2 linked regions of the Struthio camelus genome follow. Each later gene encodes a partner of the first gene's protein in a complex. Links are inferred from orthologs where the notes say so. Each region holds a gene or a part of one and is shown on either strand. Other genes may lie near its edges.

The links.
Region 2: the proteins of GLB1 (region 1) and CTSA are in contact, whole or in part, in a cryo-EM structure (PDB 7KDV), measured with the Mus musculus proteins. The link is inferred for Struthio camelus from reciprocal best matches to the Homo sapiens genes GLB1 and CTSA. Residues at the interface, in NP_033882.1 of Mus musculus: Tyr198, Asp199, Arg202, His206, Leu229, Thr233, Leu234, Gln235, Asp236, Leu237, Lys258, Phe259, Glu260; in NP_001033581.1 of Mus musculus: Glu29, Asp31, Ala37, Lys38, Gln39, Pro40, Ser41, Phe42, Arg43, Tyr107.

The regions. Positions count from the first base shown.
Region 1 is NC_090943.1:52,586,964-52,590,861, forward strand, and holds the start of GLB1 (beta-galactosidase), read right to left. Parts: upstream 2,336-3,898; 5' UTR 2,086-2,335; coding exon 2,032-2,085; intron 1-2,031. Other genes in the region: TMPPE (transmembrane protein with metallophosphoesterase domain), read right to left, coding at 3,540-3,582; CRTAP (cartilage-associated protein), read left to right, coding at 3,862-3,898.
Region 2 is NC_090959.1:19,333,137-19,337,034, forward strand, and holds the start of CTSA (lysosomal protective protein), read left to right. Parts: upstream 1-1,463; 5' UTR 1,464-1,503; coding exon 1,504-1,578; intron 1,579-1,600; exon of another isoform or gene 1,601-1,622; intron 1,623-1,991; exon of another isoform or gene 1,992-2,086; intron 2,087-2,433; coding exon 2,434-2,591; intron 2,592-2,738; coding exon 2,739-2,850; intron 2,851-2,984; coding exon 2,985-3,035; intron 3,036-3,383; coding exon 3,384-3,470; intron 3,471-3,580; coding exon 3,581-3,736; intron 3,737-3,898. Other genes in the region: NEURL2 (neuralized-like protein 2), read right to left, coding at 1-152. UniProt on the Homo sapiens protein: Protective protein appears to be essential for both the activity of beta-galactosidase and neuraminidase, it associates with these enzymes and exerts a protective function necessary for their stability and activity.

The sequences.
Region 1 (3,898 bases):
GATCAAGTTTGTTTCAGGTGATGCAACTACCTTAGTTCAAGCCACACAGCAGCACGTACTTAATTTCAAAACACTTCCTGTCTCTCAGTCCATATTTAACTAGAGGAAAGGCAAGCAATCATTACAGCCAAATACTGCGGAACTAGGGCATGAAAGCAGCCTTGCTGGGTTATGCAGTGAACTTAAAAGTCTACAAAGCCCAAGTGGGCCAGAATGCTACTCTGTAGCATGTACTTTCCCAAGCTAATTTAAAGGAACATTAATACCACTAAGACCGACAGGTCCCTACTGTATTATTAAGGACTAAGCCAGGATTTTGCAGGACCCTCTTTCATTGATCGGTCAGGGAACTATAGGTTGACAGAGAAAGTCTCATTTCCTCAAGCCTTCTTAGCTGTCGTAACACCATTCTTACAAAAAAAAAGGTACTATTTTACATATGTGCTTTCTACAGAAAATAAATAAAGCTAGGCAGATAAGAACACCAAAAATGCCCCAAAGGGTCAGGCCCATGGTTTCTCTAGCCACGGGGTCATATTCTGTCTCAAGAGCAGCAACAGGAAGTGTTTAAAGAAATCACATGACCCTGGCACCCCTCTGCAGCCCACGTACCCCTCCAGCAGCCAGAGCTGTTACATTAGGCATGTAGCACCCCTGCCTAGTCCTTTTAGTATGTTATTTATGAAGCTGGTGTCCATTAATCTGCCTAATTCTTTTTTGAACCTGTTGATACGGTCTGCTTCTGCTTCCTGCAGGAGCAAATTCCTGCAATTTACTATCTCCTTTATGAAGTACTTTATCCATTTTAGACTTATCTATTAGTTTCACCAAGTGCTCCCATTCCAATACTACTAAATTTGGAATCAGTTTTCCATTGTTCTTACACACCGCCTTAGTCATAACGCCACCTCTCTCCAAGATCATGACTTATTCAACATTCCCTTTGATAAACGTCTCTCATGGAGCTGTGCTACTTTTCACATTGCTTTAACCATCTTTGCAGTTAAAAGCTTGCATCAAAATAACTAAATAGTTTGCTTCCAACTCAAAGCACAAGCGCCAAAGCAGGGCTCCCACAATATTTGTAAAGATGAAGGATTTAGCTAGGCCTTCGGCACACGAACAAAGAATCGACGCGGGGAAGGGTGTAACTCCCTCTTCTCACGCAACCACAGAAACAGCAAGGTTTCCGGTGCGTGCCATCGGCTAATGGAGTCCAGGTATCAGGTAACTGCAGCTCCATTTCCCCTCCCCCGCCCCAAGGGTTGCCTAACTAGGCCCGAGAGTACAATGTTTCTCAAAACAAAGCCTAAATGGTGGCAGGAGTACACCTAGCAGAACCGTTTCGGCCGGCCGGCATGTGAGGAGGGTATCGGAGAGAACCAAAAAAAAAAAAAAGCAGCGAACAAGACAATCCATCACCTCCCTGACTGAGGATGCACAACACCTCTCCTGCTGCGAGGGGAAGGCGCTGTCAGCGCTTCCTCCCCAGAAATGAAAGTCAGCTGAGAGACCACCAGCCACGGAAGGGGGGGGGGGGGTAGGAGCAGGGCCAGCGCCATGCTTCGGCCCTCCCAGCCCCAAACCTCTTTTTGCAGCTGCACCTCCACCTGGCAATTCCCACCAGGGAACAGAGGGAAAGCCGGACATCTGCACCCCAAATAACAACATCAATGGATCATAAATCACTAATGAATTAATAATGGATCTCAGTTATTTAAAAAAAGAGAGAGAGAGAGGAAAAAAAAAGGCAGAGGCAGCGCAGACAGCATCCTTCTTCCTCCCGGGGCGGTGAAGCTCCGGGCGAGGCCCGCAGAGGCAGCGCGGCCCCCCCCGAGGGGGCCACCCCGGCGCCCCTCAGAGCCTGGGGCCGCTCCCAACGGCCGCCCCGCCCCGCCCCCCCCCTCCAACGGCCGCTCCCAACGGCCGGCGAGGGGGCCGCGGTGGGAGAGGCGAGCCGCAGAGCGGCGTCCCCGGGGCCCGCGGCGGAGCGGGAGCGCCTAGGCGGGGGGGGGAGGCGAGGGGACTCACCGCGGCCCGGAGGAGCGCCGCCAAGGCGGCCAGCGGCAGCAGGAGCCGTAGCATGCCGGACAGCAGCGGGAAGGGAGGAAGCGGCGGCGGTGGACGAGGCACTCCTCGGCACGCCGTCCCATGACACGCCGGCGTCAGCTGACTGCCCCGCCGGGTCTGCTCCGCCCCGTGGCGCCGCCTGACCGCCCCGGCTCGCCTCGCGTGGGGCCTCCTCGACCCCCCCACAGCCCCTCCCGGGCGCCTGGGGGAGAGCACAGGGGAAAGCGAGGCAGGAGGCAGCTGGTCACGGCGATGCGGAGGCTGCTGGAGCGGGGCGGGGGGACTAGCACAAATAGGGGAGCAAAAGCATTAGCGGGCAGGTCTCCTCCTGCCCAGCGTTTGGAAACGGTGCACAAAAACCTGAACGAGTGTGTGTGTGTGTGGGGGGGGGGGGGAAGTGTAAAACAGCCGATCACCCTCGGAAACGAGGGTGCAAAAAAAAAAATAAATAAAGCAAGCCTACAACACCCGGTATTCCCAGGCGGTCTCCCATCCAAGTACTAACCAGGCCCGACCCTGCTTAGCTTCCGAGATCGGACGAGATCGGGCGCTTTCAGGGTGGTTTGGCCGTAGGCAAGTGAACGGCTTCTTTCTCTCCTTTTAAGGACAACACCGCGGCATCATGCTACTCCAATCCTATCCAAGCTGCTTCCCTCCTTGCCCTGTTGTGAACAGGAGCGCCACCAACAGCCCACCACTCCTTTTGCCTGCACCGTCTCTACAGCCACCTCACCCATCTTACAAATCCCACCTTACCAGCCTTGCGTAACATGCGCACTCTCACTCACCAGCAATACAATAAGGATGTACCCACCAACCTCAGGCCCTCCAGATTACTTCATATGCCCCCTCCCCATCCTCCCCACAAGGATCACTCACAGGATCGGGGAGCTCAGCCCCCTGCCAGCCTGCCTCTCAGGACACCGAAACCCTCCAGCATCAGGCTCGCATCCCAGCTACCCAGAGGGGACGAAGGAAGTTCCCCCGCTGCCTCCTCACACCTCCACCTTTCCCACACCAACGAGGTGAAAAGGAGTCTCCTAGTTTCCGGCCCGGCACAAGAGATGCTGATAAGCACACACCATTACAGGTGGGACTGCCATGTCTCTACCAGCTTCTACAAGCCCAGCTGTCTCTGAAGGTGGCCTGGGGCTTGGCCCCTCTGGGAGCAACACCCACTGGGATCCTGTCTCCTGTCTTTCCACATCCCTGATGCTCCCTCTTCCACCCGCTCGCCTGCTGGTGCTGCGTCACGCTAGTGGACCACGCTGCTGGCAGGACACGAGCAGGTGGAAGACGGCCTCGACGTGGCCCATTTCCACCTCCTGCCTGAGGCTCTATAGGGCAGCTGACGAAACCTAGGGCAAGCAAGGGAAGCAAAAAAAAAAAAAAAAACACCCTAAAACAGAAAGGGACAAAACATCTCCTGCACCTCTTCTTCCCAGGCAGTCTCACGGCCGAGTACTAACCGACCAGGCCTGACCCCACTTCGCTTCTGGGAAGAGACGGCATCGGGCGCCTTCAGGCTCGCGCGGCCGCGCACGCCGCCACGCCAGCGCCCAGGCCCGCTGCTGCCCACCACGAAGCGCCCGCTCGCTCCCCTCGGCGCACAGCCCCGCACAACCCACGCCCCGGGCCCGGCCCCCGCCGCGGGGCCGCCCCCCGCGCCGCCTTCGCCCTCCCCCCGGCCGCGGCGCCGGCGCCGCCCCGCCCCGCGCTGCCCTCTCCCCTCCGCCCGTGGCGGCGACGTGGTGGCCGGCGGCGGCGGCGAGGCGGGAGCCGGGCGCAGGGATGCGGCTGGCGGCGGCGGCGCTGCTGCTGGCGGCGG
Region 2 (3,898 bases), on another chromosome or scaffold:
AAGATCTGCCCGGGCTCCAGGGGCTCCTGGCTGAAGCACAGCCCGTTGGCAAAGCTCTCCACCCGCGTGGCCTGGGTGTGCGAGGGGTCGATGCGGACGTTGGTGCCGTGGACATGGTGGAAGCGCGTGTCGGAGCGGCACTGCGCAGCCATCTCTGACACGGCTATTTTTAAACAGCCCAGTCCAGCTCCAGGCAGCTGCTGGGGGAGGCGGTGACGGCACCCTCCGAATAGGGACAGCCGGGCCGAGGGTGGCCCTGAGGGGTCCTAGTGCCACTGGGCCCACGGGAGGGGTGGGACGGGGCCAAGGTGCCAGCCGCCGTGGAGCCTCCTCTCCAATGGCTCTGCCCCCAGCCCAGGGCCCCCCCTCGGCTGGGGCCAAGGGAGCGCGAGCGCGGCGTGGGGCGACCTCCGCTCGCCCCGGCTCCCTCGCTCCTCCCGTGCCAGCACCCTGCGGCCGTGGGGTCCCTTCCGGCAGGGCTGGGCACGCGTGGCCGCGGCCGGGGCCTGGCACGGGTGTGCTTCAGTGCCGGTCCCGTGGGTGACCCCGGGGCTGCGCCAGTCCCAGGGTGTGCAGCACGCGGTGCTGGTGCTGTGCCGGTCGTGGTGTGCAGCACACAGTGTCGGTCCTGGCACAGTGCCGGACCAGCTGTGCAGCACATGGTGCCGGTCCCAGGGCTGTGCCGGACCGGCTGTGCGGCACACGGTGCCGGTGCCGGGGCTGTGCCGGTCCTGGTGTGCAGCACACGGTGCCGGTCCCAGGGCTGTGCTGGACCGGCTGTGCGGCACACGGTGCCGGGGCTGTGTCGGACCGGCTGTGCGGCACACGGTGCCGGTCCCAGGGCTGTGCTGGACCGGCTGTGCGGCACACGGTGCCGGGGCTGTGTCGGACCGGCTGTGCGGCACACGGTGCCGGTCCCAGGGCTGTGCCAGTCCTGGTGTGCAGCACACGGTGCCGGTCCCAGGGCTGTGCTGGACCGGCTGTGCGGCACACGGTGCCGGGGCTGTGTCAGACCGGCTGTGCAGCACACGGTGCCGGTGCCGGGGCTGTGTCGGTCCTGGTGTGCAGCACACGGTGCCGGTCCCAGGGCTGTGCTGGACCGGCTGTGCGGCACACGGTGCCGGGGCTGTGTCGGACCGGCTGTGCAGCGCATGGTGCCGGTGCCGGGGCTGTGTCGGACCGGCTGTGCCGGTGCCGGTCCCAGGGCTGTGCCGGACCCCCGGTACCGGTGCCGGTCCTGGTGTGCAGCACACGGTGCCGGTGCCGGACCCGCGGTGCCGGTGCCGGGACGGTGCCGGTGTTCCGGCCCTGGTGTGCGGTACAAGGTCCTGGGGTTGCCCCGCTTTGCAGCGCCCAGTCCCAGGGCGGTGCCGGTGCCGGTGCCGGGACCGCGCTCACGTGCGCGCGGCGGGGACGGGCGCGGGGGCCCGCGCGCCTGCCGGGGCGCTGATTGGCTACCGCGAGGAAGCCCCGCCCCGAGGCACGTGACCGCTCAGAGGTCATATGGGCGCGAGTCACGTGGGGCTGCTGAGAGCCGCCGCCAGCAGGAGCCGGACCGGGATCGGGACCAGGGTTGGGGTCAGCGGGGGGGGACCGGGACCGGGACCGGGACCAGGGTTGGGGTCAGCAGGGGGGGGACCGGGACCAGGGTTGGGGTCAGCGGGGGGGGACCGGGACCAGGGTTGGGGTCAGCGGGGGGGGACCGGGACCGGGACCAGGGTTGGGGTCAGCAGGGGGGGGACCGGGACCGGGACCAGGGTTGGGGTCAGCAGGGGGGGGACCGGGACCAGGGTTGGGGTCAGCAGGGGGGGGACCGGGACCAGGGTTGGGGTCAGCGGGGGGGGACCGGGACCAGGGTTGGGGTCAGCGGGGGGGGACCGGGACCGGGACCAGGGTTGGGGTCAGCAGGGGGGGGACCGGGACCGGGACCAGGGTCGGAAGAGGGGGCCGGACTGGACCGGGACCAGGGTTGGGGTCAGCAGGGGGGGACCGGGACCGGGACCAGGGTTGGGGTCAGCAGGGGGGGGACCGGGACGGGGACCAGGGTCGGAAGAGGGGGCCGGACTGGACCGGGACCAGGGTTGGGGTCAGCAGGGGGGGGACCGGGACCGGGACCGGGACCAGGGTCGGAAGAGGGGGCCGGGCTGGACCGGGATCGGGGTCACAGTCACAGTCAGGGTCAGCGGGGGCACCAGTCCGGTACTCGGCCAGGACCAGGGTCAGCGGGAGAGACTGGGCTGGGCCGGTTCAGGGCTGGGGCAGGGACTGGGGGCAGCCAGCCGTGGAGGGACGGGCCCGGGCCAGGGGCAGCTCAGGGCTGCAGTGGTTTCGGGTCAGGGGTTTGGCGGGGCCGGAGCAGGCCGGGCTGCGGGCCCGTCGGGTCGACCCAGCGTCGCTGAGCTCTCGTCCATCCGTCCGTCCATCCCTCTGCAGATGGGGCCGGTGCTGCTGTGCGCACTGCTGCTGGGGCTGAGCCAGGCTGCTCCGTCTGGCCACGAGGTCACCTACCTGCCGGGGCTCCCCAAACAGCCCTCCTTCCGGCACTTCTCTGGCTACCTCTGCGTCGGGCCGACCAAGCGCCTGCACTACTGGTACGTGGGGCTGCCTTGCGACTGGTGCTGTGCTGGTACCCCAGTACTGTACTGGAGCACAGGGCTGTGCCCTGGGCACTGCCCTGACCCGGACTGGGGCAGGGGCCCAGCAGGGCGCTGGATGCTCATGGTCCTGATCCCACGCAGGTTTGTGGAAGCCCAGAGCAACCCGCAGAGCAGCCCTCTGGTGCTGTGGCTGAACGGGGGCCCTGGCTGCAGCTCCATGGAGGGTTTCCTGAAAGAGCACGGCCCCTTCCTGGTAAGCAGTCCCTGGCCTGTGGTCTGGGGCGGAGGGCTGCCGAGGGCTGGCGGGCTCCACAGTGCGGGCTGTCCTGCCGGGGTTCGACTGGCTTGTGCCTGCTGCCCGTCAATCACTGTCTTCTCCCTCCCCAGGTCCAGCCGGATGGGGTCACTCTGAAGTATAACGACTACGCCTGGAACAAGGTAGGGGCACAAGTTCTGGCCAGGAGCAGCTCTTCCTGCCCAGCTTGTGTGAGCGACTAGTGGGTCCCTCCGCAGGCTGTTGGGAGAGAGGGTGGCCCTGGGCCAGTTCCTCCTGCCCTTTTGAGGGAACGGAGCCTCCTGCAAGCTTGTCTGCCTGACCCACTGTCCTCTCAGGTCTTGCTAGTGACTGGGGTGGGAACATGGCTGTCCAGAGCAGAGCTAGGGCAGGGCCAGGCTCCTACTGGCGCTGCTGTAGATGATAGCGAGCAGCCCTGTGCTCAATGGCTCTTATGACAGTCCTGGAAGCAGGGTCTCCCTTGTCCTCCAGCTCTTTTGCTCTCCCTGCAGATTGCCAACATGCTCTACCTGGAGTCCCCCGCCGGAGTTGGCTTCTCCTACTCTGATGACAAGAAGTACGCCACAAATGACACTGAGGTGAGGGACCCAGGCTGCTGGGAGTGACCTGTCCCTTGCCTGCCCCGCTCCTGTGGAGACGTGGAGGGGTCCTGCCATGCTGTCTGACCCATGTCTCCTTTTGCCTGCAGGTTGCTCACAACAATTACTTGGCACTGAAAGAGTTTCTTCGTCTCTTCCCTGAGTACTCGAAGAATGAACTCTTCCTCACGGGGGAGAGCTACGGGGGGATCTACATCCCCACGTTGGCAGAGTGGGTGATGCAAGACCCCAGCCTCAACCTGAAGGTGAGCAGCTCAGCTCTGCTGCCTGCCTGGCCTGGGCTGGGGGCAGAGGGCTTGGCACCACCTTGCAAACTGGCTCTCTGTGAGCTGTACTGAGGCCAGTGCTGGGACAAGGCCAGGCTGCACTGGCAGCTGGTGTGCTGGGCCCTCTCCTGGGCACGGGGC